6 linked regions of the Danio rerio genome follow. The protein of the gene in region 2 purifies or fractionates together with the protein of the main gene of each other region. This does not show direct contact. Links are inferred from orthologs where the notes say so. Each region holds a gene or a part of one and is shown on either strand. Other genes may lie near its edges.

Region 1 (4,572 bases), on a different chromosome or scaffold from region 2:
TTTCAATATAATAATAAATAACACATTTAATAGCCCTGTTACGTTATAGGCCGAACATGAAATATGTATGTGTATTATTCATATAAGTATTATGAATGATTACAATTATCTTTATATTACCATTATTTATATTATTCTGGTATCATAATTTATGTTTTCCTTTAATAAATGCAATCATTGCTACTTAAAGAAGTCCATCAAGTATATTGGTTGCAGTAGTTATGCTTAGGTTTGGGCAATCAAAACAGCATACATGCTACTAATATTAATAATAATAAACAATAATTAACAAAAGAACATCTAATTAGAGTAAGTCTCAAGACCAAAAGTAAACAAAACATGGATTGCTTTAAGCCCCGGTCAGATCATACGATTTTTATTGTCGGTTACGAAAGTAACTATGTCAGATCATGCGATTTTTAATTTTTTTTCTTGATAAAATCTTGACTTGTCGTGGGTGTCATTTCAAAGCAGTCACAAATGTTGCTATAACAATATATTTTTTTAATCTCGATTTCAATTTGTTTATTATTTTTTATCTTATTTTAATTTTAATAAACACTGATGCTTGCAGACAACTAACTACATTATTTAAGAGCATTCGTTAGGATAGGACCAAACTTACGATTCCTTCGATATGATGCAAAATTATACATGCTTATAGCCTATTCCGTGTTCAAGCGCATCCATAAAACTTGCACCGGCAAAAGTAATGATTATGAATTTGTTGATGCAAAAGCTTGTTTAGGCCAGTACTAAATGCAAAATGCTATTTTTTTCTGCAAGTTATATGTAAACTTATGACTTAAAATGACTTGAATTAAATGACTTAAAAACATAAAATTGGCAGAGTGTGTGTCGCAAATAAAGTGTTTATTAAATGAAGAGTCAGGTGTCTTTAAAGCTTTGGAAAATTTCTCATAAAAAAGGACAAGAACGTAAATGCTTTTTACAAGTCGCAATCAAAAATGAGATAAGTGGTGTATTGGAGTGTTGCTGTAACAATATTTCTTATCTCAATATAATTAACTTCAAACTCAATAAACACTAATGCTGGCTGACAACTTGGCCTAATAACTATTTAAAGGCATTTGTTATGACATTGATAGGATCAAACTTTTATGTTTCTTTTTTAATATGAATATATTTTCTTTGAAATTGTATATTTTTCTGCCAATGTTTCTATTAAACACTCCCTTGCCTGAACATGAAATGAAAGAACATCAGCAGCTGTGAAGCAGTGAAGAATTAATTAAATCCTTATTTTCTACGGAGCGCATCAAATCATCACCGCACAGTTGGACGGGCACAAACTAAAATATAATTCATAAATGTTTCTTGGAAAAAATATCTTTTTGAAACGGATTTTTGTTAGCTATAAAATGTATCTTAATTGTAATGTATTTTTTGTTGGTCAGTTAACTACTAGATAAAAAAAAAAAAAACGAATAACCTTTAAAGTGAAGTGCTTCAAAACAAGTTCACTATAGGCCCATGCTTCAGCGCTAAAACATGAGTTGCCGTGAGATTGTGTTGGTTTGGTAAATAAAAATATAATCTAGCTTAAATAAAATTAAAGTTAAATATTCACAGTTTCAGAGAAGCCTATATTAAACTGTTATTATGAATGACACATTTGAATAAGCAGGACTGGCTTTTATTAGAACAAACTCAGTTGGAAAGTTGAGAGCAGTGGCGCCTGCAGCCGTACATTGTGCGTTTCAACCATGAGAGGGCACAAATTAATGCCGCTTATTTATTTATTAAATAATGTGAATTTATTATTAAACAGTATACACTACGATATATTGACAAAGCAAGAAAGAATGAGAATAATTAAAGGTGTGATTGTGTGTTTTAAAGTGTGTATGTACTTGCATGGTGGGAGATGTAAAAAAAAAAAAAAAAAAAAAACATACATGATTAAACAAATTAAACTGTAATTGAGCGGCGCAACGGATGGTTTCGTCACTTACAGTGACAAACAGTTTAATATAGGCTTCTCTGAAACTGTGAATATTTCACTTTAATTTTATTTAGGCTTGATTATATTTTATTTAACAAACCAGTTTGAGTTTTGGCTCTGAAGCAAAGGTTATAGCGGACCGGTTTTGAAGCACTTCACCTCAGGTGCTATTCTTGTTTATTTTGTAGATAACTGAGCAACAAAAATATATTAAAATTAGCCTAATTATTAATTTTATATTATACTATTTTATTAATGATAAATTATTGTAATTAATAATTTAAATTATTGAAATACAGTGATGTGCTTTCATTTTCTCGGTCTCACTTGCGACAATGAATAAATGTAGCCTTGACAGCAAGCATCAGTGTTTTTTGAGATTGAAATGAGAATAAGGGATGATGGGGCCGGGTGGTGCTATATATGTGCGTATCTTTGAATAAAATCCTGCTGGTGCCCCTGGAAGAGAGAACTCTGAATGGAGAAGTGGGCATATTTGTGCCAGTCTGTCAGATAAAATTGCTTAAAACACTTTCATATTTTAGAGAAAGTAGTTAAAGTTTGCATAGCCAATGACTGGTCATATCCACCCGTGACTGACCCATCTGTAAATTTGCAGCCTGTTTTTTGATTACCTGACCAGCTCATTAACAGGAGCACCTACAAAAATAACTTGTATATTATGTGCTCTTATTGGGCCGTGCCACACACGTGGTGGACATCATCGTAAGAAACAACAAAAGAATAAACATGCTAGACTTTCTGCGACGGTGTCGCGAGGTGTCGCAGGCATGGGATCGGTTGTCGTGAACTATGCCACATTACAGGTGAAGAAACGATGGAATCTTTTGTCCTGACGTCTATTTGTTGTTTACCAATCTCTACAACACCCAAGGTCAAAAAAATCATGCCAAAATCGTGTGATCCAACCGGGCCTTTACAAACTACTATTTTCATTATACAATATGTAACTAATAATGTACTGTAATCTACTCAGCAGTGTAAGTGTGTGTATCTTTACCTTATCAGTGATACGATCAATGGTCTTGTTTTGTTTGTCGATCTCATTGCCCATGTCCAAAGCCAGATTTTTGAGATTGCCAATGATGCTGCCCACCTGGTCCAGATTCTCCTCCATCTCATCTTCTCGAGCATCATTTGTTATTCTTCGGGGAAAGAAAAAAAATGGCAATAAAGCATACAGTAAATCTTTATTAATGCAAAACAATGGAAACATTGGTCATCTTAGGAGCACAAATTAAGATATTTTAGATGAAATCTGAGAGCTTTCTCATCCTCCATATAATTAGCAATAGTCCCAATATGTGCAAAGTACAGAAAAAGAACCAAACTACTTTTGTGTGTCAAAAATCAACAACTGTAAAAACAAATGTCTATATCACATGTATAACATCTATGTGGAATAATCCTCCCCTATCTGTGATATCTGCATCTTCCTTCAATCATTTTAAATCCAAGTTACAGTTGCATCTTTGCATGCTTGCTTTTAACTAGGTCCAGACAAAATCTGCAGACATTTTTTGCTATTTCTGTCGAGAGTTTTGTAAAAAAAGAATCTGAGGATTTGTAAGGAAAAATTTTGGGAATATCGTAACTAAAAACTTAATATATGAAACTTTACAATGTGAATCCAATTAGATCCACTTATTTGGTAAACAAAGCAAGTGTCTATTATAATATATATCTACTAAAAGACAGAAAATATGACTTTACAAACTGCATAGTAAATAAATCATATGAACATTTTCATATTAGTCAATCATATAACAGAAATTAATAAAAAAAAACTGAATTAATATAAGTTTACACAGAATTACAAGTAAATAAAAAGACTGGTGGGCTTAGATGAAAAAGATGATGGGCTTAAAATCTGCGGATTACTGTGCACACAGATTCTGTGCGGGCTTACTTTTAACTCTACTTTTATAATTTTTTTTGTCTGCAGGGTTTTGTATTTATAAGTATATTTTTATCTATTTGATATCCTTCTTGCCTCGTTCTACAGCACAGTGGTCAACTATTGTTGTGTTTATTTGTGCTTTATATGCAAATTAATGAAATATCAAATTCCAGCCTACTCTGCCATATCAATTTATCTGACCCGCGAGAGCTTATGATTCACACCAACTGCAAATTTATACTATGATTACAGTTGAACTACTGAAGTTGAACATGGAATGTTTGATAATGGTTTTTAGAAAATGAGCACCATCACAAAAAAGACCCAAGTCACTTTCCAAAACATTTTTAATCAACGTTTCATGTTGGTGGAATGATCTTCCCATTCCCACTTGAACTGCTGATTTTCTATTAGATGAGGATGTGTAATAAATAACAGAATTTATATTTTTGGGTGAACTAACCCTTTAAGGTGACTCATCTTAATAATTAATGAGGAATTAAAAATCCGCTGTAACAGTCCAAAAATAAGCACTAACAAACTGTACATGTGGAGTCCAGCTGCAGATTTTGATGTGGCAGGGTAAAAACAATGAGTCCTAATAGTAGTTAAATGCCACCAAACAGAGACATATTGTAGTTTATTATAGGTCTTGAACTGCCTGCTTAGACAGGAAGTCACCACC
Region 2 (5,657 bases):
CCTGGTGTCCTGGCTAAAGTCCCTCAATCAGCCCTTACAATCATGGCCTCCCAATCATCCCCATCCACCGAATTGGCTCTATCACTGTCTCTCCACTCCACCAACAGCTGGTGTGTGGCGAGCGCACTGGCCCCATTGTCTTGTGGCTGCTGTCGCATCATCCAAGTGGATGCTGCACACTGGTGGTGGTGTGGAGAGACCCCCCTCATGATTGTGAAGCACTTTGGGTGTATGGCCATACAAGATAAATACGCTTTATAAATACACACATTACATTACAGTACATTACAAATTTGTTGATGGTTAGTTAATTTTGCTAACAAATTTTACTTTTAAAAGAACTAATTTTGTGCAAGGTATATTTTAACTGTAGTTAAATTATAGTAATTCTCAACATATATGAATTGAGTGTTTTTTGTATACTTTAAGTAAACTTGCACATAGCCTACAACACTAAAACTAAAATTTAACAAAGAGTACGCTAAGAGCGATTGCATTATTTTTTGTGTGTGTGTGTGTGTGTGTGTGTGTGTGTGTGTGTAGTTGTAGTTAATTCGAAGCCCAAATTCTGAGCTTGGGGCAAACTAACCATTTACTACAAGCATTATGACTAGTTGTACACTTAAAGTGTACTGTCACACTTATACTACACTAAAAGCTAGCCAATTTAGTTCTATGATATATTCAAGTATTACAAGTAGCTCATAACAAGCGTTCCCAAACTATTCAGCTAGTGAGCCCCAAAATAACAATTCCAGTGACTCGCAATCCAAACAGTACAACATACAAACAGTGCACACAAAAAATAAATAATTAAATATATATATATATATATATATATATATATATATATATATATATATATATATATATATATGTGTGTGTGTGTGTGTGTGTGTGTGTGTGTGTGTGTGTAAGTGTGTGTGTGTGAGTGTGTGTGTGTGTATGTATATATATGTATGTATGTATGTATGTGTGTGTGTGTGTGTGTGTGTGTGTGTGTGTGTGTGTGTGTGTGTGTGTGTGTGTGTGTGTGTGTGTGTGTGTGTGTGTGTGTGTGTGTGTGTGTGTGTATCAGGCCCGGATTGGCTAATCGGGAGGACCGGGAGAATTCCCGGTGGGCCGGTGCGTTTTTTGGCCGCGAGGGCCGGTGTCCCTAGCTCTAGAATCTGTTGCTCTCAGCAGTCACACTTTTTAAATTAATTTATTTACTTACTTGACTACAGTCTTCTTATTCATCATTTTACCGCAGCTCTGCTCTTTTTATATATGACCAGCCTGCAGGTTAATGACGATATTAGTCAGATGAGTCAGTCCTTCATATACAACTGTTGTGGTCCAGTGGTTAGCACGTTAGATTATGACGCTAACTTTCAGTAACTCGCAGCGACATATATAATATATATATATTTATATATATATAAATAATTTTTTTTGTCAATATTTAATTTACTATTAATCTCACTTAATGACAACGGTGAGCACACTGTTTGCAGCACAAGACTATTCTTGGTTTAATTTTGGGGATCGTCCTCTATGTGTAGTCGTGGCCTTTATTTTTTATGTACACGCGTGCCGTAAAGGTGTCAGAGTTTAACATTGTGCCATTAATCTAGTGTAATAACCCCAGGGGTTGGAATCCAATGGGAAAAGAATTGAAAGGCTGATGGCTTTTTATTTGCATGCTGTTATTTTATTTAACTATTAAATACCATGTTTATCTTCTGTAAGTTATGGATAAAATATGGCTATTCTAATAGTTTAATAACATATATTAAAGAGAAATCACCAAGCAACCCACCCTCATTGTCTCACAAACCCCAATTTGGGAACCACATAGCTATACTACTAGTAGCCTACATAAATGTTTATGTGAAGTATGCTTAAGATATATCAATATTAACTAACTATACTTAATAAAAAGGAACGTGAAGTATACTTCTTTTTAGTAAGGTTAGGCTACTTATTACCCATGTGGAAACCAAGTTAAAGTCTACTTTATTTTTGTTATGTAGGCTAGTTTTTTTTTTTTTTTACTTTTTTAATTGGGGTAAGTTAATAATAATAGACATCTGCCTAGTATTTGTCGATCTAAACATATAGTACATAAACTCAATAGTTTAGTATATGCGTCAAGTACATTACTAATCTACTACATGTTTCTGAACGCACACGGAAGATAGAACAGAAGTCACGTGACCCGCGCGTCAAAGAAATCAGCTGAGGGCTCGGAGTTTCACTCAGGAAATCCAGGTAAACCGAACAACCAAAGTACATATTAAAGTAAACGATGCGTATTTATAAACTGTACATGTGTGCAGACTTTACGTAAATAGTTGTTGAGGGTAGTTTAAAAGAGAAGTCAGTAAAGTAGCAAGCGCAAAGTTCATTCACTGAAGCATATTTGTTGACAGCGCGATTTGTGTTCACTTGACATGAAACTACACTGTAAGATTCCCGAATGTTAATGTTTGTTGTGTGTCAGCAAAGTTAAAACAATAGCTGTCTAGTTTTATAAATGAAAATGCGTGTTTGTGAGTTTGTGAGCCGTGATTTCCGCATTCTTTCGTTTTGCAGGTGCAGCGCAGATCGGTTTTACTAGTCATCTGTTTAGTACTAGCCTGCTAACCAATAAACAACATTACGCCAGCTATTTTCGAGTAATTATTGAGCTAATAAGGCATATTTCAAAGCAAGGTGAGCAACTATATGGGGCAAGTTTTCTCGTTAATTCAAAATGACAACAGTAATATCATTAAGGGAGATTCTAAAACGCATGAAATAAGCTTAATAATTGAGGTTAAGTTGATTTTATACTATAGACTTTATCCTTAATAATATAATTTTGGCTAAGAACTGCACATTCTGATTAGGGACATCATATTAGCATCTAATGACTTTCAAAGTACACGCTGCTCTCAGTCAATTAAATAATGCTAATGTTTAGGTCATACTTACATGTGATTTCAGACTTCATATATAAAGTAGCATGGTAAACAATATAGGGAGTGTATCACAAGTTGTCACTGAAAGAATGTGCGAATATAAAACCAACTTTGCCTCAATAGCTTAATATACCTAAACATCAACCAGAGAAGCCCACATTTCGATCAAACTTTACTTGTAATTAACCCGAACTACTGTTAAGACAGAGTCCCAATTCCATAAGTGAAAAATATCACGCTAAGCGTTTTCTCCACTATTGAAGTCTATTATAAGTAAAAGCTTAATGTGGCTTAATGTACCTCAACAACAAGTGGGGGGAACCAAATTTCTATCAAATTTTACTTGTGGTTAGCACTAACTATATAGCAAAAAAATTAAAAATTTGCCCCATTTCCACAGCTTAAGTGAACAGCGTTTTTCCCTATGTTGTTGTGGGGATGTCAATGACATGCACAAGTGCATTCTTTTGACAGCAAAGGGTTAATCTATAATAAATTAAGTTAGATTTTTTGAACAGCTTTTTTATAATTTGGTTTCCCTCTGTTTTTAAGTCAAGCTTTCCTTATTAAGGACTTCAACGGGGAAGAAAACACTTAACGTGATATTGTTAACTTTATCTGTGGAATTAAGGCCCATTCTTTTAAAAATAGTTTGTCTTAATCACAAGTAAAGAAATTTGGGTTTCCCTGGTCTGGGTTAAGATATGTTAAGCCACGTTAAGCTGATTCCTTATAATGCGCTTCTGTGAGGAGAATGCTGAAAGTGATATTGCTCACTTGATACACTAAAATAAAAGCTTGTTCTTTTACAGCAGTAAGTGTTTTTCATGAATATATATCTATAGAAATTTGATTGTCTCTAGATGTTAAGTTAAACCACATTAAGCTGTTATAATGGACTGAAATGGGGATAAAATGCTTAACAACATTGTCCGCTTTATCTACAGACTAAGGGCTTGATCTTTTGATAGTAGTTAGTGTTAATCACAAGTATTCGATAGATTTTTGGTGTACCCCACTTGTTGAGGTATACATTAAGCCATGTTAAGCGTTTTCCTTTTATAATGGACTCAGTGGGGAGAATTGCATACCGTGATAATTTTTACCCACTAAAATAAGAGCTCATTCTTTTGACATCAGAAAGTGTTTGTAACTTTTATAGAAATTTGGTTTCTCCCACTTGCTGTTAAGGTACATTAAGCCACGTTAAGCTTTATCCTTATAATAGACTCCAATGGGGGAGTAAACGCCTAACATGATGTTTTTCAATTTATCTGCTTAATTGGGACTCATTCTTTTTACAGTAATTAGGGTTAATTACAAGTACAGTTTGACAGAAATTTGGGGTTTTCTGGTTGATGTTTAGTTACATTAAGCCCCGCTTTCTTCATGTTAAGCATTTTTGAATGTCCCCATTAATATAATTAAGAAACGCATACAAAATAGTGAGCAATTGTTTTGGTCTCCAAATAGTACAGTACGTTTTAAGGGTAACTTAAAGTTGGTTTATATTCACACATTCAGACTTTCTCCTTAATATAATTTCAGAAAACTATTCTTTACTAATACTAAATAGTCAAATCATATTCCCAGCAAATGACAATTAAAGTACAGCATTGTTCATGGTCAATTAAATAGTGCTAATGTTGTTTTGGAGGCATATGATTCAGACCGAATATTTAAAGTAGTAAACAATATAGGAAACATGTCACAAGTTGTCCCTAAATGAATGTGGGAATATTAAACATTAATAAGTATGTATAGTTTGTGTAAAACATGTTTACAACTCGTGAAAGTCTGTCACTACTTGACATTTATTAAAAACGTCGCAAATCCAGCATTTCAGTTCATACATGTTAATATACAAACTATTCTGTAGCATGTAGGATCAAATATAATGATAGTTGAATGTTATTGAAGGAAGAAATTGATAAGCCATATGTAAAAACACGTTCAAATAGTATGTTTTAGGAGCAATGTATATAAGAAAACATGTTTATGAATAAATTGTATAAGCTTGTTATTATGTAGCGCAGTATAAGAGATAATTGTGCGATTGTAGGCCTGCAAATAAATGTGATTTCTACAAATGTGTTTTCTGTCTCTTTCATTAAAGGCTTCCATCATGTATGGATCAAGAGAAGTCGATGCCAATGGGCTGGCACAGACTATTAGTTCAAACATCCAGAGGATAACGCTTCTAAGTGAGTACATTCACTCTTATTTATGTGCTATAAAAATTGTATAGCTTACAAAAATGTACCATCAGTTTTTTTTACCAAACAATAACTGTTAGTAAACTCGTACTTTTTTAATGATTATGTCTAGACTTGACTTGTATTTTTAGCCACGCCTGGATGGTGGTGATGTTTCTGTTTTCACATCTTCAATTTCTTTGTTCAGTTGTTCTCCATTTATCTGCTATGCAATTTAATGTGCTACATTCACAAAACCACAACAGATAAAAAGTCAAGTACAAGCGGAACACATTTGTTTACGACAAAACAGTCCTTTCTGTAACCTGATAACATGGGAGGTGTTTAAAGCTGATTTAGATCTTGCTTCTGTTTCCCAGCTAATGAAATCCAGCAGTTGATGAGACATCTTGGAACGGCACAAGACACAAGTGACCTGCGACAGACATTGTGAGCCAAATACAAACATCTAGTTTGGATCTCAGTCCTTTAGCACATAAAATAAATAGAGATGAAT
Region 3 (5,149 bases), on a different chromosome or scaffold from region 2:
ACATGTATGAGATTTAAAATGGCCAATCTTGCTTGTCCTACGAGAAAATTGGTAAGTGTATATTTTGCTTTCCATTTTTGTTTTTGTACTTTACTCCCATTTTAAATGTTATAAATAAAACCAAATTTGGTAAATAGTTTTTCTAATAACTCAAATAAAAGAGCTAAACAAAACAATCACAAGAGTTGAAAAACAGTACAAAATGAACACACAGATGATACCATTTCATTAATTTGACACAAAAGAAGATGGAGTTATTTCTGACACTTGTACGAAAGCTCCAATTAGGTGTGTTGAAGGATGTTGGAGCTACACTATGCAGAACACTGGCTCTCCAGGACTGAGTTTGGACACCCCTGTCCTAGAGAAACGAAATATTGAATGAGTAAACAGTGGGTGTGGCTTGTTTTTTTTTTACTGCGAGCTGATTGGATGTAGTAAAGTAGGCGTTTCATTTAGAAAGATCCGGAAAAGGGTTTGGATTTAGGCCCAATCCCAATTATACCCCCTTAGCATTTTCACATTTCAATTAAAGATTACAAGCATTTTTTTCTTAATGACATGCACAGATGAATTGTTCAGCACAAAACTAGCAATGTGAGCTAACTAAATCAATACGGTTAGTTTTGATTTCAGATTTCATTTGTACTTGAAGAAACCCTCTACTCCATTGCTGTTAGTATGAAGTGCTGACTACTAAAGTCCTGCTGCTTTACAGAAGCCTCCAGCCATCCTGCCAAAAGATTCACATCATTAAACTGATTACTAAAGCTCCATCGCTGCTCTGACAGCTGTTTGTTTACACACATGGCACCATTCCTTGACCTTGATTACTTTTTCAGGCTTTAGCATCACTTTTTCAGAGTTCTCTAACAGCCTTGCGGGTGTGTTTTTTTTTTTTTTTTTGTATACTTCTCCAGGTGGTGGATATCATGAGAGTGAATGTTGATAAAGTCCTGGAACGAGACCAGAAGCTGTCAGAGCTGGATGATCGTGCTGATGCCCTGCAGGCCGGAGCGTCTCAGTTTGAGACCAGTGCCGCCAAACTCAAGAGGAAATTCTGGTGGAAGAACGTCAAGGTAAAACTAGCAGTAAAACACTAGTAGTTTAGTAATACTTGCTTCAGTAAATCAAATTTAGGAATGTTTTTTTGAAGTTACATCTAATTTATTAATAAAATGTATATGTTTTCAGTGTTTTGAGGGATATTAAGTGACTTTTAGAGGTTGCTGTTGGTCAAACTATACAAATGATGCGTCTAATTTTTTGTTTTTTAGGCTACATGCAGATATGAACACCTATTTTACGTGAAACGTGTTTTGTGAATACTTAAGTTGTCCATCAGAGCTCTTGAACTGCCCGTTTCAGACCGTTGAATATTATTTTTTAGAATTGATTGGTGCGATTATGCATTCACAATGGTATAAACCGTAATGGGGGGTCAAATATATAGTTATTTAATAAATTTTTAATTATTAATATGTAAGATATAGACCAGAGAAAGCTATTTCTTACTATTAAAGGGCTGACCCCCATACATCTTGATTTGATGTCCTTCAGGGGGGGTCAATCGTTAATTAGAGGAGTCAAACCCCTGTAATTCGCTCCCTGCTTTTAATTAATTTCATTAAAGGCATGATTAGGTTATTAGGTTAACTGCAGTAGGTTCACACCGGAGGAAACACGAACACAGGGAGAACATGCAAACACCACACAGAAATGTCAACTGACTCAGCCGAGGCTCGAACCAGCGACCTTCTTGCTGTGAAGCGACAGCTTTACCCACTGCGCCACCGCGTCGCCTACATAAAAATGGTCAATTGTAATACTTTGATTGCATTAACACGTTTCTGACCACCAGACGTCCCTACAACGTAGAGTTTCAGACACTTCAAAACGTTGAAACATTTTGCGAAGCAATTCTTCAATTGCTTCTAATGCTGGGTTCACCCAAGACGAGGAAGAAGTGTCAAGCACGAGTGCTTTACATGTTAAGTAAATGCAAAGATGCTAATAGACATCCTGCAACGCGATACGTGTGAATGAAGCGGCGCAAGTTGATCGTTTTGCACGTATCACACAAATCGCTCGAGTTGAAAAATCTGAACTTCATCAGACATTCGAGCCTCGTTAACCAATCATGAGCTATGTCTTGTAGGGGCGTCACTATGACGTAGCGCCTGTTGTTGGTGTCCCAGGGGAAAATCCTCCTGCCGACACTGGACAGCTTATCACACTGGGCTTGGCTCAGTCAGAAGCACTGCTGAAAGCTCCATCGTCCATGTATAGTTTCTGGAGGAGTTTGAGCTCAGAGCTGGGTGCACCTTTGAATGGATCTAGTGCACTCAGACACGGCACATAAACGCAGCTATTCTCTCAATAAAATCAATGTTAGCCATTTAGCAATGAAGCTAGAGTCACCGTGCAGACAGAAGCCCCGCCCATGGTGCGAATCCGTGTCTGTTGGGAAGTGAATCTGATGCGCGAATAAAGCGGGTAAACTTAAAATGTTTACGCGCGAATAGCACGATTTATCTGTGCGTGCACCATCTAGTGTGAACACAGCATACGCTTTGAAAAGCTTCATTTCTGCCATCAATAGTGGCTACATTGTTATAGTACAACGACTAGCTGTAGAAGAGCAAGCAAATACCACGTGGAAACAGGACCACAATGTCTCACTTCAGGGCTCGAAATTGGGACCATTTTGGTCGCATATGCGCCCGAAATTTAAGCTATGCGACCTCATAATATATATTGGGAGCATTCGTGCGACTGCATATAATAGTTGTAGTGCGACCTGTTTTTTTTTTTTTTCTCAAAACGTGGTAAAATCGGTCTTCCCTGCCGATATATTGGTTCATATTAGCTGTCAATCACTCAAGATTTTCCGCTGTCAGTCGACAGGGAGAGAGCTTTTGTAACCTTGGGGAATGCAAACGGCTGAAAAGTGAAAAGTACACTGAATCTCGATGCGTTGCATGCACTGCATGTTCAGCCAACACAATCTCACGGCAATTCATAACATTTTCAAAAGTTTCCTCGTGAGATCAGGCTGCAACAGCGCAAATGTCCGCTAAAACACCATCGCCAAAGAAGCTTGCCTTTACTGAGTTTAAACTGATGCGGGTTATAACAAAGAACAGTGTTGCCCCTGTGGTCATCGGGAGAATCCTGCCCTGCCCCCCTCGTATTGGGCCGGCTGACTCGCATGCTTTTCCACAAACACATATGTAATTCAGCGCGTAACGACGCTGAGCATTAAAACGACACGAACCGAAACACGAACTTTTAAAAGTGAGACTTTTCTTCCTTTCTTTTGTCCGTTCTTTCTTGAGGTGTATATTATTTTTCTATTTAATTACTGATGACTGCTTTTCAGCTTTCAGCATTGAACTAAATGATTTATTATATTATTTCGTTTGTTTTGTTGCAGAAATATTATTTATTTAATTGACATGCATATAAAACAATAGTACAAAATAAATATTTCTTACTACAATGCTTCATTTGTGTTTGATGCAAACCATTAATTTATTTTTCATAAAGTAACTGTAGGACTATATAGCAGATAACTTACATTAAAGCGGGACTAAATTTTGAATCCCGCTCCCGCCCGCACCCGCCAGGTTTTAGCCGGAACCCGACCGCTCCCGCTTATATTAAGCACTTGATGTCCCGCTGCCCGACCCGCCCCGTTTTCTATCCGCCGCGCCCGATCCCGCTAAAGAGCGGGGGGAGAACAAAACCGAATAATCACCCAGTTATACAGTCCAGACAGTCTATAACAAGCTGTCTGTATAAACACACACACGCACGGCACCAAGCACACACACACAGACAAAGCTTTTTCTCTCATTTGCGCGCGCCCTCTAACACACACTCATAAGCACCAAGCACAAACACAGGCAATAAGGCAAAGCTCTCGCACACACACACACACACACACACACACACACACACACACACACACATACACACACACACACACACACATACATACACACACACACACACACACACACACACACACACACACACACACACACACACACACACACACACACACACACACACACATATCTGTCATTCGCGCGTGCGCATACATACACACACACAAACAAACAAGCTAAACACAGCATCGCGCTATTTCATTTACACACATACATACGCGTGCTCACTCGGGAGTCGGGAGCGATATTGCTTGACAGCCCGCTCCCGTCCCAAATTAAACCCGCTACCGACCGCTGCCGTGATTTATTCGGAAATTTATACCCGCGCCGTAGAAATCTGGTCGGGTCCCGCGGCGCCCGCGGGACAGCCGCAGGAATGCAGGCCTCTACATTCAAGGCAGCATGATGATGAGAAATATAATTCATTATTAGTATTATTATCATAATTAATATTTTATAACTATTCAACATTCATTTTGGAATTATTGCACAAATATTAAGTCTTCACAGCATTAGTTAGATAGTTGTTTCTGGGTTTTGTTTGTCCCAATTGATGTTGTTTTCAAATACAATCAATCCCTTAATATACAACTTGTCAAATATATCATTCATTTTTGGTGAATGCTCCTAAATTTTTTGTGGTGCTCCTAAATATTTCAGATTGGGAGCACCGGTGCTACCAAGTAAGAAAGTTAATTTCGAGCCCTGAACTTATACTTTTAGTCCAGTTGAACTGCCTTTACTGCAGTTGCTTTTTACAAATATAAAGACATGTATTTAAAAAGAAATATTCTTACGCACTAAATTGTCAATTTGTTGTTCGTTGTCTTGCAGATGTGGGCCATTTTGATAGCTGTGGTTGTGATCATCATTATCATCATTGTCAGTAAGTTCCACTTGAGGTGGCAGCAGTGTGAAATTTCAGACTTCAGCTCTGTGATTGTGTTGGAAGTATTTAGGACATTACTAAGTGGTGGATGGACATATAATTAATGCATCTCCATATATGACTGTTCATTTTTCCTTTTTTCAGTCTGGTCGCAGTCATAAAGTGGCACAGAGTCTGGTTGTGATCGGAGGAAAAGATCAGGATATGAAGGAGTATTCACTTCAGAAAGAAGAGTGAATGAATGAACAACCGGTTGCTCTTCCAATAAGTTCTAACCTGCTGATTTTCAAATGCATATTTTGTAAAC
Region 4 (5,398 bases), on a different chromosome or scaffold from region 2:
GAATGGTTACAGGTAGCATTGGCACAATACTGGAATTCGATACCAATCGGTACTGAAATTTTACAAACGTCCATTTCCTGCTTACATTTGAGCGCTGTTGAGCCCATTCTTAAACACTGTTGATTTGCTGTTGTGTTCACATGCTCAACAGAAATGACTGTGATTGGCCGTGAAGGTCATTAGTTCACCAAACTCAACACTGTTTACTGAGTGTAAACACAGATACAGGGACACAAGCATTTTAAAGTCACGTCAATCAGCTGGTTTGTCTATAACTTCACATACAAGCGATCTGCTGATGAATTGCGGCTTTTAAATGCTCCAGTGTCTGTATCTGTGTTTACACTCAGTGAACAGCAGTGAGATTGGTGAACTAATGACCTTCACTGCCAATCACAGTCATTTTTGTTGAGCATGTGAACACAATGGCAAATCAGCTGTGTTTAAGAACGTAATCAACAGTGTTTAAATCTTAGCAAGAGATGGATGCTTTTTTAAGCTTCAGTATCGATTGGTATTGAATTCCAGTATCGTGACAACACTAGCTACTAGTTTGAAACATTTAAAGGGCGAGTAAACATTGACAGATTTCATTTTGTCGTGAACCAGTTCTTTAAGGCAACATTTCAGTTTACTGTAATAAGATTTATTATTTTTAGTACTAAATACTTGATTTTAAATGTTTTTTTTTTTAAATTCCGTTGGATTTGACCTGACCTGAATGTTTCTTGTACAGGAGAAGGTGGCCCTCAAGGCAATTACGTTGCGAGCGGATACAGTGTGTATGAGGAGGAGAATGAACATCTACAGGAGGGACTGAGAGATAAAGTACACGCACTTAAACACGTGAGTGGCCTTCATATCTGATGCTCTATTTTGATTAACTACTCTGCATAACTATTCTTATTTTTGGAAAATATGTGTTTAATCTTTTAATTATGCCTTTTGCAGTTGTCTATTGACATTGGAAATGAAGTCAAGATCCACAATAAGATGTTGGGAGAAATGGTATGTGTCAGGAAGTTTTTCAATGTCTAGTAGGGGTTTCATGGTACACTAAAATGACTTTTGTTTTGAAGTTTGGTGTTTTCTGTTTAATGGGTGGAAAAATTCATAACATTGATGTTTTTACTATACAAATTGTGGCTGTGTCTTTAAATAAATTCAGTTAAAAGTACAGTTGATATTAAGGGTAAAGAAACTATAAATGTACAACTGCTATTGAGGGGAACAACTATAAACTATATATGGAGCCTTATTATTTAAGCATTGCTATATTTAAGTGTACAGTTTCCAACAGGGACCTTTATTAAATTCAGTTGCAATTAGTTTTTAGATATTGAAATCCATGCTAAAATAATTCTAAATGCAAACATGAGACTGTTTTTACAATAATTTAAATCTAATTATGAAATTGTTTCTACTCCAATTAGTAATCCAATTCCTTTGTAACGGATTCATTTAAACGTACATTATATATTAAATATGTATTGAAAAGTATAAGAATAAAGCATTTATTGTTTGAATTTTAAAGTAACAAAACAAAGCTTTTATTTGTGCATCTGAAATAGGGCTGCACAATCTTGGGAAAAATTGACAGTATTTAGTTTTTCTGCGATATATTGCGATATTGATATAATTTCACAAGATTTGTACCACAAATGTATGAGATTTTCCCATTGAGTCCTTGGAAGTGTCAGGTGCAAATAGAAAGGTGTTTCTACATGTACAGCACACACAGAAATGCACAGTGTGTTTCAAGAGGGGGACTGTGGCGTCTTAAGCCCCTGATGTATTGTCAAAAGCCCCTGATCTTTTGTTGGAATATGTTGCACTTAAATAAAAATAGGTTGTATAAAATTTATTTTGTTATCAAAGTTTTTAAAATTAGCTCATACATCACTGTGCTCCAGTTAACGCAGCTATTAAGTCATGTAATTAAATTGTCAGCTATTCTGCAGTATCTGTTTCTACCGGCAGGTGGGAGTGGCACAGTTGTCACATGGTTTTAAAAAAATCCCATCATCATCATTCATTATTTTGAGGAGCTGATGAGGTAATAATACAATTCGCAAAACTGAATAGTTGTAACTACTGATTTTTTAAATAGCTTTTTTTAATTTGTTTTCACAGTAAAAAATGTGTGTAGTTTTGGTGAAATACAATAACTAATTGATCAAATGTGCATCATATCAATGTAAATACACGCGAATTAGTCAGAAAAACGTAAATTGTACTAGCTCTCTAGATATGATATAGATATCTAGGCATATTTATCTAGATATGATATAGCCAGGCACATCTGTTTCTGTAATGGTTAAATCACAGTGAGGTAATGCATCTTATTATTTTATAGCTTCTATTTAACATGCTTTATCAGTTAGCACCGAACTTAGTTAGCACTTTACAAATCTTGAATACCAATCAGAGACAAATGGGTGTTCAGCACTGCCTACATGTGCATTATTAATTTTAAAATCATCTATCCATTTTCCTACCCTAAAAAAAAACAACAACAAAAAAAGTTTGTTCTATTGCAAACAAAAGAAAACCGAAAAACGTCAGTTTTCTTAATTTTCCTTTTTTTGCTTGAAAACAAATATGAAATGGACGGAAGATTCCCTGATTGTGCATGAAGATGCTTTGTTGTGTGTTTTAGAATAAGTATTTTAAAATGCAATATTTAATGTGTCAGACACAAAATACAAGTTTTTAAATTAAATAATAATTGAATATTAATATGACCAGTTAATGGTTAATATTCTGTTAACAAGTGGCAGTTGTCAGTTGGCAAAATTAACTGAAATGAGCATCCCTAATTTCAATGTATTATGGCTAAACTTTGCAGATCTCATCTTCTGAGCGGTGGTGTTGGATTTAGTATAATCCCATCTCAACATTGCAGATCCAGGGATGTGACAATTTCACATGCAGACATTGAATGCTGAAATTGTGCAGCTCTAAATTAAAAAGTGTTCTGTTGTAAAAAAAAAAAAAACTAAAAGATTGACATTGGGATTTAAGAATAAATATTCATGCATTCACATTAAGGCATTCTAAAGTTCCAATTGTGCTGTGGTTAAAGCAACGCTGTAATCTTTTGAAACGTAAGCATGCTAAACAAATTTACAGTATATACAGTTGAAGTCTAAACTATTAGCTCTTCTGTGAAGTTTTTTTTTTCTTTTTCAAATATTTCTTAAAAGAGGTTTAACAGCAAGGAGTTTTTCACAGTATTTCCTATAATGTTTTTTCTTCTGTAGAAAGTCTTATTTGTTTTATTTTGGCTTGAATAAAAGCAGTTTTTAATTTTTGTTTTTAAAGTCATTTTAAGGTCAGTGTTATTGGCCCCTTAATCATTATTTTTTTCTCGATTGTCTACAGAACAAACCACTGTTATACAACGACTTGCCTAATTTAACTTGTCTAATTAACCTACTGCCTTTAAATGTCACTTTAAGCTGAATACTCTGGAAAAATATCTAGTAAAATATTATGTACTGTCATCATAGCAAAGATAAAATAAATCAGTTATTAGAGATGAGTTATTAAAACTAATGTGTTTAGAAATGTGCTGGAAAATATTCTCTCTGTTGCACAGAAATTGGGGGGGGGGGTATACAGGGGATAATAATTCTGACTTCATACGTGTACTTGCATGTTAAACCCCTTTAATTAAATTTCTTTTTTAAGATAGTAGTATTGTGAATAGCTTTAATATCTGACTCGTTTTCTCCTTAAGGACTCAGACTTTGACTCGACTGGAGGTCTGCTGGGAGCCACCATGGGCCGATTGAAGCTCCTCTCCAGGGGAAGCCAGACCAAGGTGTACTGCTACATGCTGCTGTTTGCTCTGTTTGTGTTCCTCGTCCTGTATTGGGTCATCAAACTCAGGTGACCACACAACTCCTGAGATCCAGGACTTTATTACATGCCATGCTCATTTGGGGTAGAAGAGCAAAATCCTCACACTTATGATGATGGTAATGATGATAATGAGGAGGAATTAAGGGGAGCAAATGTGCTTTTCTGGCCAGTGAATTAGAAATTGAACCATTGAGTTACAATGTGCAATATGAGAGAAAAAAAAAAAACATCTGTCCCCAAAATTACAGTCTCTTCAATGGAGAAATGCTACTTATACTGGAAAAACATGCATATTTAATTCAGTAATAATTAAACATTTGTTTGTGTTATTCTTTTAAGAGAACTTCATTGCTATGAATGGGTGATGATTTATAAATTCTAATGGATTTATATATATATATATATATATATATATATATATATATATATATATATATATATATATATATATATATATATATATATATATATATACTATTGAAGTCAATGGTTACAGGTTTCCAGTTCAAGGCAGTTTCCAGAAGAAAATCAATCATGTGTGTTTGAATAAAATGTCATTTGTCTTCTATTCTGTAATCTATTAAAGGTCCCACAGAATCAAAACAGTGACAGAATTCAAGTTTAGAAGATATAAAACTGATATGAACATGTCAAGCTTATAGATTGTCACTTCACCCAAACGAATCAACTGTTTTATTCACATGAACCTCATACTGCAGTTTCTCATCAAATCATAACCAATTTACTGCTCTCTAGTATCTGACATGCCCCGGCCCGCCCCTATTTTGTGCTTGAGCTGACAGAGCGGTGATTAAACAAAACGCTATTGGCTGTTTTTAGGGGAGGAGTTACCCTGCCCCACCCTCTATTGGTGTTTCGGTTTAAATTTACGTCAAACATCAGATAAAACATCCACATTATAAAGCACTTCATGGGACCTTTAATGTCATCACTTCTGAATCTGCAAATAAATTAGAGCAATGCAAATTATTCATTAAAGCATCAATGTTTCAGTTTCAGCAGAGTTAACAAAGCAATATTTAGTGGAATAAATAAATTGGGCAAAAATACATATATAAAAATACATATATAATAAAATACATGTATAAAATAAAACAAATATTAAAGTTTTACTCAAATGCATACTTGGTGAATCCAGTTCCTCCAGAGAAACTGAGAATTTTCAAGCGGTTCATGATTCAGGTTATGATAAATGCCCAGAACTGAAACCTTATTCATTTTTATTTTTCCTCTTTACAACATTGTTTGCAAGAGTTGCCACCAAACCTTTTTTATTTATTTATTTTTTTCCTGTGGGGCAACTAGTGTCCGGTAGTGTTATACAGTACAGTACAGTATATTATAGTCTTTAAAGGGCTGATCCTGAAACTGTGAAATAATAATGAGATATGTGAGATCATGTGCAATTCACTTCTGTATATTAACCAACTAAGGATTAATCCCAGAACTCTAAATATTTCTTGCTTATTTCTCCTCCGCTCTGTGGTTAACGTCATGCATGGTTTAATTC
Region 5 (5,149 bases), about 33 Mb from region 2:
TAACCTACAAATGGTCAAAAAATAAATCAGCAGTGACTATAGTGATTTGAGATTTTCTTCATCACTCATTGTGGAACATCAGCATATTTAAACATCACAAGTCTTGTTAAATTTTGGGTTTCACTTAATATTAAGTGGCCTTAACTACCGTGTACTCGCTTTTAAATTAATAATTTGGTACAAACCACTTATTATACACATACATACATGTTTTACATTGTACTTGTATATACATTTTTAATTATCTGCTTGTAATTACAACTGTAATTTATTTCTGTAATCACATATACACAGTTGACCAAAACCTTAAATCTTAACCCACCCTTAAACATGCCAACAAACCTGTCCCTGACCTTAATAGCACTATAAGTGCTGTGCAATACAATCTAAACACTTTAGTTTACATAGTTTTAATGCATCTAGTAGATATGGCCATTTAGTATATGGTGGGACTGAATTTTGAAGGCTTTAAGCCATGCATTTCCATTACATTTATAGCTTTCAAAAGAGAAAAAAATCATTTATTGTTTCTTTTCCATGGTGTTTTTTCCTGGTAAGGTAGCATGGAATTTTCCAGAAGGAATTTTAGCGAAGTATCACAGGTCTGGATGCAGTTATAGAGAGTTATATAACATTAGTCATGGAGATGTTGAAATGATCAGCTGAGGTATGTGATCAGTCATGGATGTTACAACAAAACTAATGAGAGGTCAACTAGATGCCTCCTGATCTGTGATTGAATGCAGACCGCATGGACTTTATATCTCTTTGTTCATCAGCAGTGTCTCCTTGTCTCCATGTCCTGAACAGGTTTATCTTTGGGTAAATTATTTTCTAGGAAAGCCAGCATCACACGGTGTGACCACATTGTGCCCTTCAGAGTGTTCAGTTGTCCTTGACGGCTGGCAGACCACTGTAAACATAACAATAAGAATTGATTGAGTCTCAGACTGTTATTTCAAACACCTGGTTTCAATTCAGACAGAACATTAGATTAAACCCACAATGCCCAGTTGTGCCCAGCCTGATATACTCATCTTCTTAATTTGCAGAGGAACCTACTGGAGGAAGACTCTGATGAAGAGGAGGACTTTTTCCTGTAAGTCTGCAGTTGTGCATAATCACTCTTGAATTGGAATAATAACAGATCTTCTGCATTAATTATTGTTTGCGTCCAGCTTTTGATTTGTCTAGCTTTTTTTTAATGTTTTTTTTTAAAGGAGAGGACCGACAGGACCAAGATTTGGAGGTCAAAATGATAAAATCAGACAGTACGTACACAATTTTTCTTTTAAATTTTTTCTGTTGTTTATGGTTTGTATGTGAGCAGCACTAGTTCTGTGTTCCCTTTGTGGATTGACAGTACAATACTTCTCATTTCAGTCAGTTGTCGTCCATTTGGTCTGTTCTAGCATAGGCTTTTGGTCCAGACACTATATCTATATCTATAGCTTATTTAACAATGCAGATTGTGTCAAAGCAGCCTAACATAGATGAAGAAAAGAAAGTAAAAGCAATAATATTTTAAATTGTGGAATTTTCCAGGAATTCAGGCAGGTAGGCCAGAGAGTAAAGTCGAATGCTGGTGTAGTTCTAGTAAATTGAAACTGTTTCACTTCCGTTTTAGTATAAATTCAGTTTAGTTCATTGATATAGGGTGTTTACACCACACTTGTAATTAGATGCACAAATATTTTTAGTTTACTTCATTCTTGCGTTAAAATCAGTTCACAATAGACAAAGATTGATGTCATGGGAGGGCATCTGTCTGCCTTGTGACTTCAGCTTTGTTGCTAATGGCTAACATGAATTTTATGAAGAGAGTAGCTGTGCTTCTCCAGAAGCTGTGCCAGGATCACAGAAGCCTTCAGTGGTATTTCCGACTGAGCTAGTTCCAGTTTGATGAGCTGTTGTCCTGTTTTCACTGGAGGATTTTTCCCTTGGGACACCATCAAAAGAAACTATGTTGTAGTCATGGCCCTAGTAGAGCAAGTTCCTGGTTAACGCTGCACCAATGTCCACCAAAGTTCAGATTTTTCAACTGAAGTGTCATTTGCTCCATTCACATTATTTGCTTGATTCACTTCATTCGTGCAAGTAGCGTCGCTGGATGTCTAATCACTTCTTTGCATTGACCTAACATGTAAATCACTTGCGCTAGACCCTACATCCACATCTGGTGTGAGCCTGCATCAATGCAAATATCATTGCTGAAGGCCGATCCACTGAAGAGCAGTCCACCAATGTGCGGCTTCACTAGTGCAGCCAAGCAAGCAAGAGGCGAAAGTGGCAAGGAACCAAAATTTCACCAATTGAAGGAAGTGAAGAACAAGCCTTGAGAGAAATCAGGCTAGACCATTCTTAATCTTGCTAAATGTCTTGTACAGAGGTGCAGTATGGATGCCACAGGCTTGAGAATAAAGGATGCCCGTTGGGGAAAAGGTGCAGGTCCAGGTTGGTCACTAGGCAGTTGTTCAAACTAGCAGACAGGATCAATGCGTTGACCGATTTGTCACTGGGGTCTTTGCAGAAACCGACTCAATGACCACAACAGCCATCTGCTCAGGATATGGGTTGTATTAATCATTTTGTAGACCTAGTGATAAGAAAAAACAGACTAACACAAGCATAAACATGTTGGCCTGGTGTGTCCCAGGCTTTCATTGATTCCTGGTAATTTGGCATGCCTTTGACAATGCATTGTTTTTATGTGAACAGTTTTGTTTTTTAATGTAAACAAAATCAGAAAAAAATATTTAAAATATCCATGTGGACATGGCCTAAGATTGTAGTCTGAGGATGCAGTCTGTGTTGAGGCTGAGACTAAAAGAGAGAGTCAAAGTTGGGACCAGAAGATGGTCAAGTTTGAGTCCAGGCAGAAACCTAGAGAGGGTTGAGTTCAAGTCAAGACTTGATGTTTTAAGTTTGGTAGTTATTTTCAGAACTGAAAAACTAGAAATGTTCAAGTAGTAGGATGAGCTGAGCTTAAAAATGTGGAGGCAGATATCTAGAGATTTACACTGGCAGGGTGTTATGGAAATCGCAGTTCTTGATTCAACCAGCACTGCCCATGTCGTTGTGCTTGTAGTTTATGTAACCCTTTATAATGACATCTGTGAAAACACCCACCCACAAACACACCTCCCGTCTGCAAAGAAGGGAAGCACTGTAACCATCTGGGTTTCTATGAAACAACATAATATTTGCAGGCAAAAGTAAACAGCTACTCCCAATATTCAAAAGTTCTTCTGGTCCTGACGTGGATGTAGTAGCCAGACTGTGAGCTTTTCTTTGTTATGAAGTTTGGTACATACTAATGTGTTGCAGTAATTCTCCCAGTGGAGACCTAGCAGAGCTTCGCCCAGTGTGTGCAGCCACACGACACCAGCTTTACGTAACCATGTGCTGCACTGTAGAGTGACCCATAAAACAATGGAATTTAATAGGGAAACCTTGGAAGGTGAAATTTTCCTAATGTTTTTTTTTTTTCTTGCCTTTGTGTACTTCTCTGATTTTTGCACTTACTTCATTTGTCTGTTGGTTATTGATGTGGAAGCAGGGCTGCACGTGGAAGGTACAATTCCAGGTGCAAGAGATGTGCAAGGTCCTGTGCCATTGGCACTGATGATGGTTTGTACTAGGCGGGCATCCAGGCACAGAAGCAAGGGGCAAAACATCCTGTTCTCAGTTCATTTACAGGTTAATCTCCCTTTTCAAAAGCCATGCCAAGCTCTTGTGCCAGGTGTATGAGAGCAGCTAAATACCTCACATGCTATTTAGTGCGTATTTGCTTGTCATGCCTATGAGATCAAATATTTCAAACTATTTGGATGTGTCTAGACTATGTCTAGCAAAACATTCTCACCACCTCTCGACATTGCAGGGTCAACAGATCATAGTCATAATGATGAATCCCGAATGGTTTATAGAAGAAGAAAAGGTTCACTTTTTCAAAATAATAGAATCACAGGCCTAAACATGTGCACAGAAGCTGTTAAAATGTCCTGCTGAATCGAAAGGAAGTACCATACCATTCCCCTCATGTTGTCCTCTCTGTCTTGTTGGTCTTCAGGGTGCAGTCTCAGGTCGATGAGGTCATTGACGTCATGCAGGAAAACATCTCCAAAGTGATCGAACGAGGAGAACGTCTAGATGAGCTGCAGGATAAATCTGGTAAGATGGATGTGAACGAATCATTGTGAATCCTTTGCCACTTGCTAATTTCTTTAATTCCAAGAGAATCAAGACATGATTCTTGGACCATCACAGAAGTTTTGTAGTTTCTTCTTCAGACTGGGAATCTGTAGTATTGTGAACATGGGAACAATTTCATTTAAGTTCAATTAGGGCTGGGCGATATGGCAAAAATGTAATCTCGATAATTACTGTCCATATCGAACAATTAAAATATATATTCTGATATCAGTTGTTAATGCTTCCACATTTAAAGAGTACCCTAACAATGACTGAAGCCTCAAAAATTAGAGGGTCCATTAAATGGCATAATGGACTAAGTTCAATTTAGCTATAATGAATCAAGGACAGATTTGCAGATCTATGTTATTAATTTCTGTGCCTGTAGTTGCAAATGAATAGATGGGAAAGCCATGTGTAAACAAACTATTATTTCCAATCGGTCAAATTCGACAGCTCATTAAACTTGACCAAACTTGATCCAGAGGACTGTGGGAAACTGTTCTGAAGCCCAGTGTGATGTCAGAATCAGACCTTCTGTTAGTTTTGTATTTCACCGTACCTGAACCTCTTGTGAGTTATGTCCCATTTCTGTTATTTCGTTTGGGGAACCGCCTGGGGACACATGGCCAGGATAGTGGGTAAAATGTCTTGTGGTCCACACTGTGGTGTGGTATTTTTCTCATTTCAGGCCAAGATGTGAAAAATAAACCAAAAGATGTTTGTGCATGGGTTTGTCTACGCTGATCTGAAATGAGTGGCTAGTCCCAAAAAAACATGAAGAGTTCAGAAGCAAAAGCCTCTAAGTTACATCTGTTCTTCTGAAATGAGCATTTTTCTCAGGCTCCTGTGTGTAGGTTTAATAGTTTCACCAATGATGCCAATTAACAGGTTCTTATATTGTCTTTAAAAGTAAAAGGGGGTCAACAATACTAAATGGATTTGAGGATGAACT
Region 6 (4,375 bases), on a different chromosome or scaffold from region 2:
ATGTTGGATATATTGGATCTTTCCATGCTCAACATCTAAAAACCAAATGATCAAATAAATTATTATCAAATTAATTATTAAACCAAATTCAAATTGTGTGCTGCACATTTAAGATTATACAGTATATTAAAAATAAATACATTTGTAAAGTAGTTGATATAATTCTCTAGTAAACCAATGTAGTACTAAGCTCCGATATCTCTTGACCAATAATGGACAATGTTGAACATTAATGTTTGTACTTAAAAATGCACTCTATGTAATACCGTTGACCTTCGTACACTTTCTAATCTAATGTCTATCTTCTTTCATTTATTAATTTTCTTGTCAGCTTAGTCCCTTTATTAATCTGGGGTCGCCACAGCGGAATGAACCGCCAACTTATCCAGCACATTTTTACACAGTGGATGCCCTTCCAGCCACAACCCATCTCTGGGAAAAATGTCTATCTTATCCTTTTTAAATAAAACTTCCTAGCTCTGACTTTCTTCTTCAAATACACTTTTATTTGTTCTAATACTGTCTATAGAGGTTGATCTACTTCTAGCACTAACAATCTGTTTTCTGTACTTTTTTCTTTTCTAAATAATTTGGCCTTCTGGCATAACGCAGTTTTCTTTTTCTCTCTCTCTCTCTCTCTCTCTCTGTCAATTCAAATCAATTAAATTCAATAATTGTGTTATTTGCATGACAATTGTAAGAAATGTATTGCCAAAGCATTCATAAACTTTACTTTAAAAAGAACATGCTTGTAACAAATAAGGAATGGTTAACTATTTTGAAACACAGATGATCACAGGTAATTCAGATTCATGGAGAGAATTTATTTGGAAAAATGTAAACATGAAACATTTTATTTTAGGTGTTATAAAGAACCCTTTCAAACTAGAGATAAAAAAGGTGAATGCTGTAGAAAATGTGAAAATATATTGGCTGATTATGTCCACATATTTTGGTATTGTAATATTATACACACCTATTGGCAAAATTAAATAAAGAGATAAATGCTATAATAGGATTGAATATTGATTGTAATTTTAAAACTATCTACCTGGGAGTTTACTCTTCAAAAATACTAAAAAATGAGGGATATCTTCTTAATACACTTCTAAAATCTAGCAAAAAGGCCATTACAAAAAAAATGTCTCAAGGAACATCCTCCATCTGTAGGTGAATGGTATGAGGTGTATGATATGGAAGTACTGACACTTTCCTTGAGACAATTAATCTATAAAGTTTCTGCATACTGTGGTAAATTGTTGAAAAGAAATTATTTTTATTTTATTTTATTGTGGTGATTTTTATTTATATATATCAAGGGCCTGTTGATCTCAAGTAACCCTTGACAAAATTTTATATAGCAACATTTTATCAACCATAAATACGAATGTAAATAAGATTGTATTCAGTGACCGTTGACACTTGTATTTTATGTCTTTTTTGTTTCCATGTTCCTTTGAAAATGTTTTTTGTTTGTTTTTGTTCTGAACTGTTTTGAAAAAAAAAAAAAAAAAAAAATATATATATATATATATATATATATATATATATATATATATATATATATATATATATATTAAAAAAAACAGTAAATAGTCGTAGTAAATAATATAATAATAATAATAATATAAAAAATTATAAATAAAAAATGTAAATAACAAATGTAGGAATAATAATAATAATAATATTAAATCAAAATAAATTTTACATTTAACAATCAAGACTTTAGGATAAAACTGTAATAATAAATAATAATTATCAGTGTATATTTACAATGATTAATTTATTGGCGCCATAACAGTTATAAATGTTACATTTGAATAGGAAATTTGCAATACCTGTGATACCTTGATTAAACAGTTTGTTTGTTTTTTCTTCTGTTTTTGAATTAAATTGTGGTTACCGGCTTATTAAATTACATGTACACAATAAAATTTGACTTATGGAATTAAAATTCCTAAAATGCTGCTTGCATTCATTTCAGTTTTATAAGTAGATTAATAGTTTTCATTTTCAATGTATTCAATTTATTTATTGCACATACATTAGACAGGCTTTTACTCAACATTTTGCAAACGTTCCTGACCTCTTTTCAAACTCATTATGACATTCTGTCTCTTTAGATGTATTGTATAACACAACAGTGGGTTATTTTCATATTTATGCCCACCATTTTAATTTGCTTTTGTTTTGTGTGCAGGAGCATAGAGAAGGAGAATCTTCACAGGATGCAGATCGAGTCAAAGCTCTGCAGTCTCAAGTGGACGGGGTCAAGGATATTATGACCCAGAATGTTGATCGAATTCTGGCCCGTGGAGAAAGACTGGATGATCTAATGGGAAAATCTGAAGACCTGGAGGCCGGGGTGGGTTTTTAATACAAAACCTCTTTGATCCTTATCACGTATTACAGCCGTAAGCCTGGCACAATGTTGTTAGTATGTACACTCACTGTCGAGTCTAAGGTCAGTTGGATTTGTTAATTGTTTTTGAAAGAAGTCTCTTATGCTCTCCAAGGCTACATAACATTTTACTGTCTGCATTTTGAGTGGTTTTGAAATAGTGAGCTAGAGTTATTATTTGAGATATTGAGCTAGAGTCATTTTATTTTCTAATAGTTCAGTAAAAGTGTTTTTATCATAATTTATGCACATATTTTCTTATAGAATAAAAGGTTTATCTTACTCAGTTATGTGCATATGTTTTTTTTTTATGCGCATTTTCAAAATTTATGCGCATCTTGGCGTTTCCAACAACCGTTTTTTATGCACATATCTAAAATGCGCATAAAAATAGGTGGTTGGAAACGTAGCTACTGACAATTTAAAATAACAGTTTTTAGTAACTTATTAATTTAGAATGTATTTTTTTTTATTCTTTTGATGTTAAAACTGAAAATTTCAGCAGTCATTGCTCCAGTCTTCAGGGTGACAGGTACCAAAGAAGGTCTGCACTCAATAATTTATTTTAAAAATCACAGGAGAAAAGAAAAAACAAACATTTCGACTGTGCGCTTTTGTCAGTGTAATGATTCTGAAACTCTTGCTGCTCAAATACTCAGTAATTCCAGGCGTTAGCAATCAAAAGAGTAACAGATCTCCTTGATCTTATTGGTTTCAGTTAAAATCAAATTGTCATAAATCAGGAATAGATCAGGGTCATATGAATTTTTAGGAACATTATAAAGGCTACTTTTTTGGTTTCCCAAGAATGCGTTTCTTACACAAGACAAAAGCAGGGATGTTCCGATCGATTGGCCAGAGATCAGTATTGGCCAGATTATCGAGTACCAATCGAGTCATGAAATCGGCCAATCTCATAAACCGATCCCAAGTGTTTGTTTAAGAGTTTAGGCAGAGTAAGGGTGAAACTTTTTCATGTTGAATTCTTCTACCATCATTTGCAGTTAATACAAATTGCATAGTTAGCAATTTTTCTTACCATTTTTTTTATCTGTTTTATCTATTATTTTCTGTAAAGCTGCTTCTGATCATGACATGTCCACACTAAATGGCTATAAGAGACATGTTAAAGGGATTATATGCAACCTCCTTGCTTTTATTGTCTTATGTAAGGAGAGATCTCCACATAAGTGTCATACTTAGTGAAAATACTTAGTGTCATACTTAGTATGCATTATAAAGCTTGAAGCATCAGAATCGGTTCTTGGTATCGGCCGATCCTCATGACAAGAAATTGTTACTCGGTATCGGCTGCAAAAATCCTGATCAGAGCAGCCCTAGACAAAGACTTATAAATACCAATATTTTTGACCGGAATTTGTGCAACTTTAGTTTTAAGGTCCTATGAAATTACAATAAAAGTTTTTTAGACATTAGTATCAGTATTGTTAGTTTTTATGATATTTATAATCTAGTGTGCTTCAAAACCGTGACAAAATTAGCTTTTAGAAGATATGAAACTAATATGAACATGTAAAACTTAGTTTGTCAATTCGCCTAAATGGATCAACAGTTTTATTTACGTCAATGAAAATGCATATTTCAAAGCACTTCACAGGACATTTAAATAAATTTTCTCACTATTAAACTCAGGTTTATTACCTCCCTCTCATTAAGATATCGGCTGGTCATTAGTACTTATTAAGTACATACTCTGCATGATCATATTGAACATCCCTAATCCTACCTAATACCTGAGCTTAACTATTAATAATCAGAAAAGTAGGAGTTTATTGAGCCAAAAATGTATAGATCATTGGTTTATTAATAGCCAGAATTGTACCTTAAAATAAGGTGTAACCCAGTGCATGTCTTTACTGTCTTTTTATTACCAACTTCATCTCATGTACTTACCAATCAACCTTTTCCCCTTTTTTCTGCTACTTAGGCCCAGAACTTCAAGCAAACCTCCCA

What was found.
Region 1: the proteins of stx7l (region 2) and snap23.1 purify together in Homo sapiens (affinity purification with mass spectrometry; 3 studies listed by BioGRID and IntAct, counting the BioPlex papers as one, with this or other methods). This does not show direct contact. The link is inferred for Danio rerio from reciprocal best matches to the Homo sapiens genes STX7 and SNAP23.
Region 3: the proteins of stx7l (region 2) and vamp3 purify together in Homo sapiens (affinity purification with mass spectrometry; 3 studies listed by BioGRID and IntAct, counting the BioPlex papers as one, with this or other methods). This does not show direct contact. The link is inferred for Danio rerio from reciprocal best matches to the Homo sapiens genes STX7 and VAMP3.
Region 4: the proteins of stx7l (region 2) and bet1 purify together in Homo sapiens (affinity purification with mass spectrometry; 3 studies listed by BioGRID and IntAct, with this or other methods). This does not show direct contact. The link is inferred for Danio rerio from reciprocal best matches to the Homo sapiens genes STX7 and BET1.
Region 5: the proteins of stx7l (region 2) and vamp4 purify together in Homo sapiens (affinity purification with mass spectrometry; 3 studies listed by BioGRID and IntAct, counting the BioPlex papers as one, with this or other methods). This does not show direct contact. The link is inferred for Danio rerio from reciprocal best matches to the Homo sapiens genes STX7 and VAMP4.
Region 6: the proteins of stx7l (region 2) and vamp8 purify together in Homo sapiens (affinity purification with mass spectrometry; 7 studies listed by BioGRID and IntAct, counting the BioPlex papers as one, with this or other methods). This does not show direct contact. The link is inferred for Danio rerio from reciprocal best matches to the Homo sapiens genes STX7 and VAMP8.

The regions. Positions count from the first base shown.
Region 1 is NC_133192.1:35,130,704-35,135,275, reverse strand, and holds part of snap23.1 (synaptosome associated protein 23.1), read right to left. Parts: intron 3,133-4,572; coding exon 2,988-3,132; intron 1-2,987. UniProt on the Homo sapiens protein: Essential component of the high affinity receptor for the general membrane fusion machinery and an important regulator of transport vesicle docking and fusion.
Region 2 is NC_133195.1:49,558,490-49,564,146, forward strand, and holds the start of stx7l (syntaxin-7), read left to right. Parts: upstream 1-2,204; 5' UTR 2,205-2,253; intron 2,254-5,061; 5' UTR 5,062-5,070; coding exon 5,071-5,149; intron 5,150-5,520; coding exon 5,521-5,590; intron 5,591-5,657. UniProt on the Homo sapiens protein: May be involved in protein trafficking from the plasma membrane to the early endosome (EE) as well as in homotypic fusion of endocytic organelles. Mediates the endocytic trafficking from early endosomes to late endosomes and lysosomes.
Region 3 is NC_133186.1:42,698,797-42,703,945, forward strand, and holds part of vamp3 (vesicle-associated membrane protein 3), read left to right. Parts: intron 1-920; coding exon 921-1,079; intron 1,080-4,787; coding exon 4,788-4,839; intron 4,840-4,986; coding exon 4,987-5,003; 3' UTR 5,004-5,149. UniProt on the Homo sapiens protein: SNARE involved in vesicular transport from the late endosomes to the trans-Golgi network.
Region 4 is NC_133194.1:43,528,206-43,533,603, reverse strand, and holds the end of bet1 (BET1 homolog), read left to right. Parts: intron 1-736; coding exon 737-846; intron 847-951; coding exon 952-1,008; intron 1,009-3,742; coding exon 3,743-3,898; 3' UTR 3,899-4,193; downstream 4,194-5,398. UniProt on the Homo sapiens protein: Required for vesicular transport from the ER to the Golgi complex. Functions as a SNARE involved in the docking process of ER-derived vesicles with the cis-Golgi membrane.
Region 5 is NC_133195.1:16,243,203-16,248,351, forward strand, and holds part of vamp4 (vesicle-associated membrane protein 4), read left to right. Parts: intron 1-1,052; coding exon 1,053-1,099; intron 1,100-1,220; coding exon 1,221-1,271; intron 1,272-4,072; coding exon 4,073-4,173; intron 4,174-5,149. UniProt on the Homo sapiens protein: Involved in the pathway that functions to remove an inhibitor (probably synaptotagmin-4) of calcium-triggered exocytosis during the maturation of secretory granules.
Region 6 is NC_133180.1:28,881,630-28,886,004, forward strand, and holds part of vamp8 (vesicle-associated membrane protein 8), read left to right. Parts: intron 1-2,200; coding exon 2,201-2,365; intron 2,366-4,349; coding exon 4,350-4,375. UniProt on the Homo sapiens protein: SNAREs, soluble N-ethylmaleimide-sensitive factor-attachment protein receptors, are essential proteins for fusion of cellular membranes.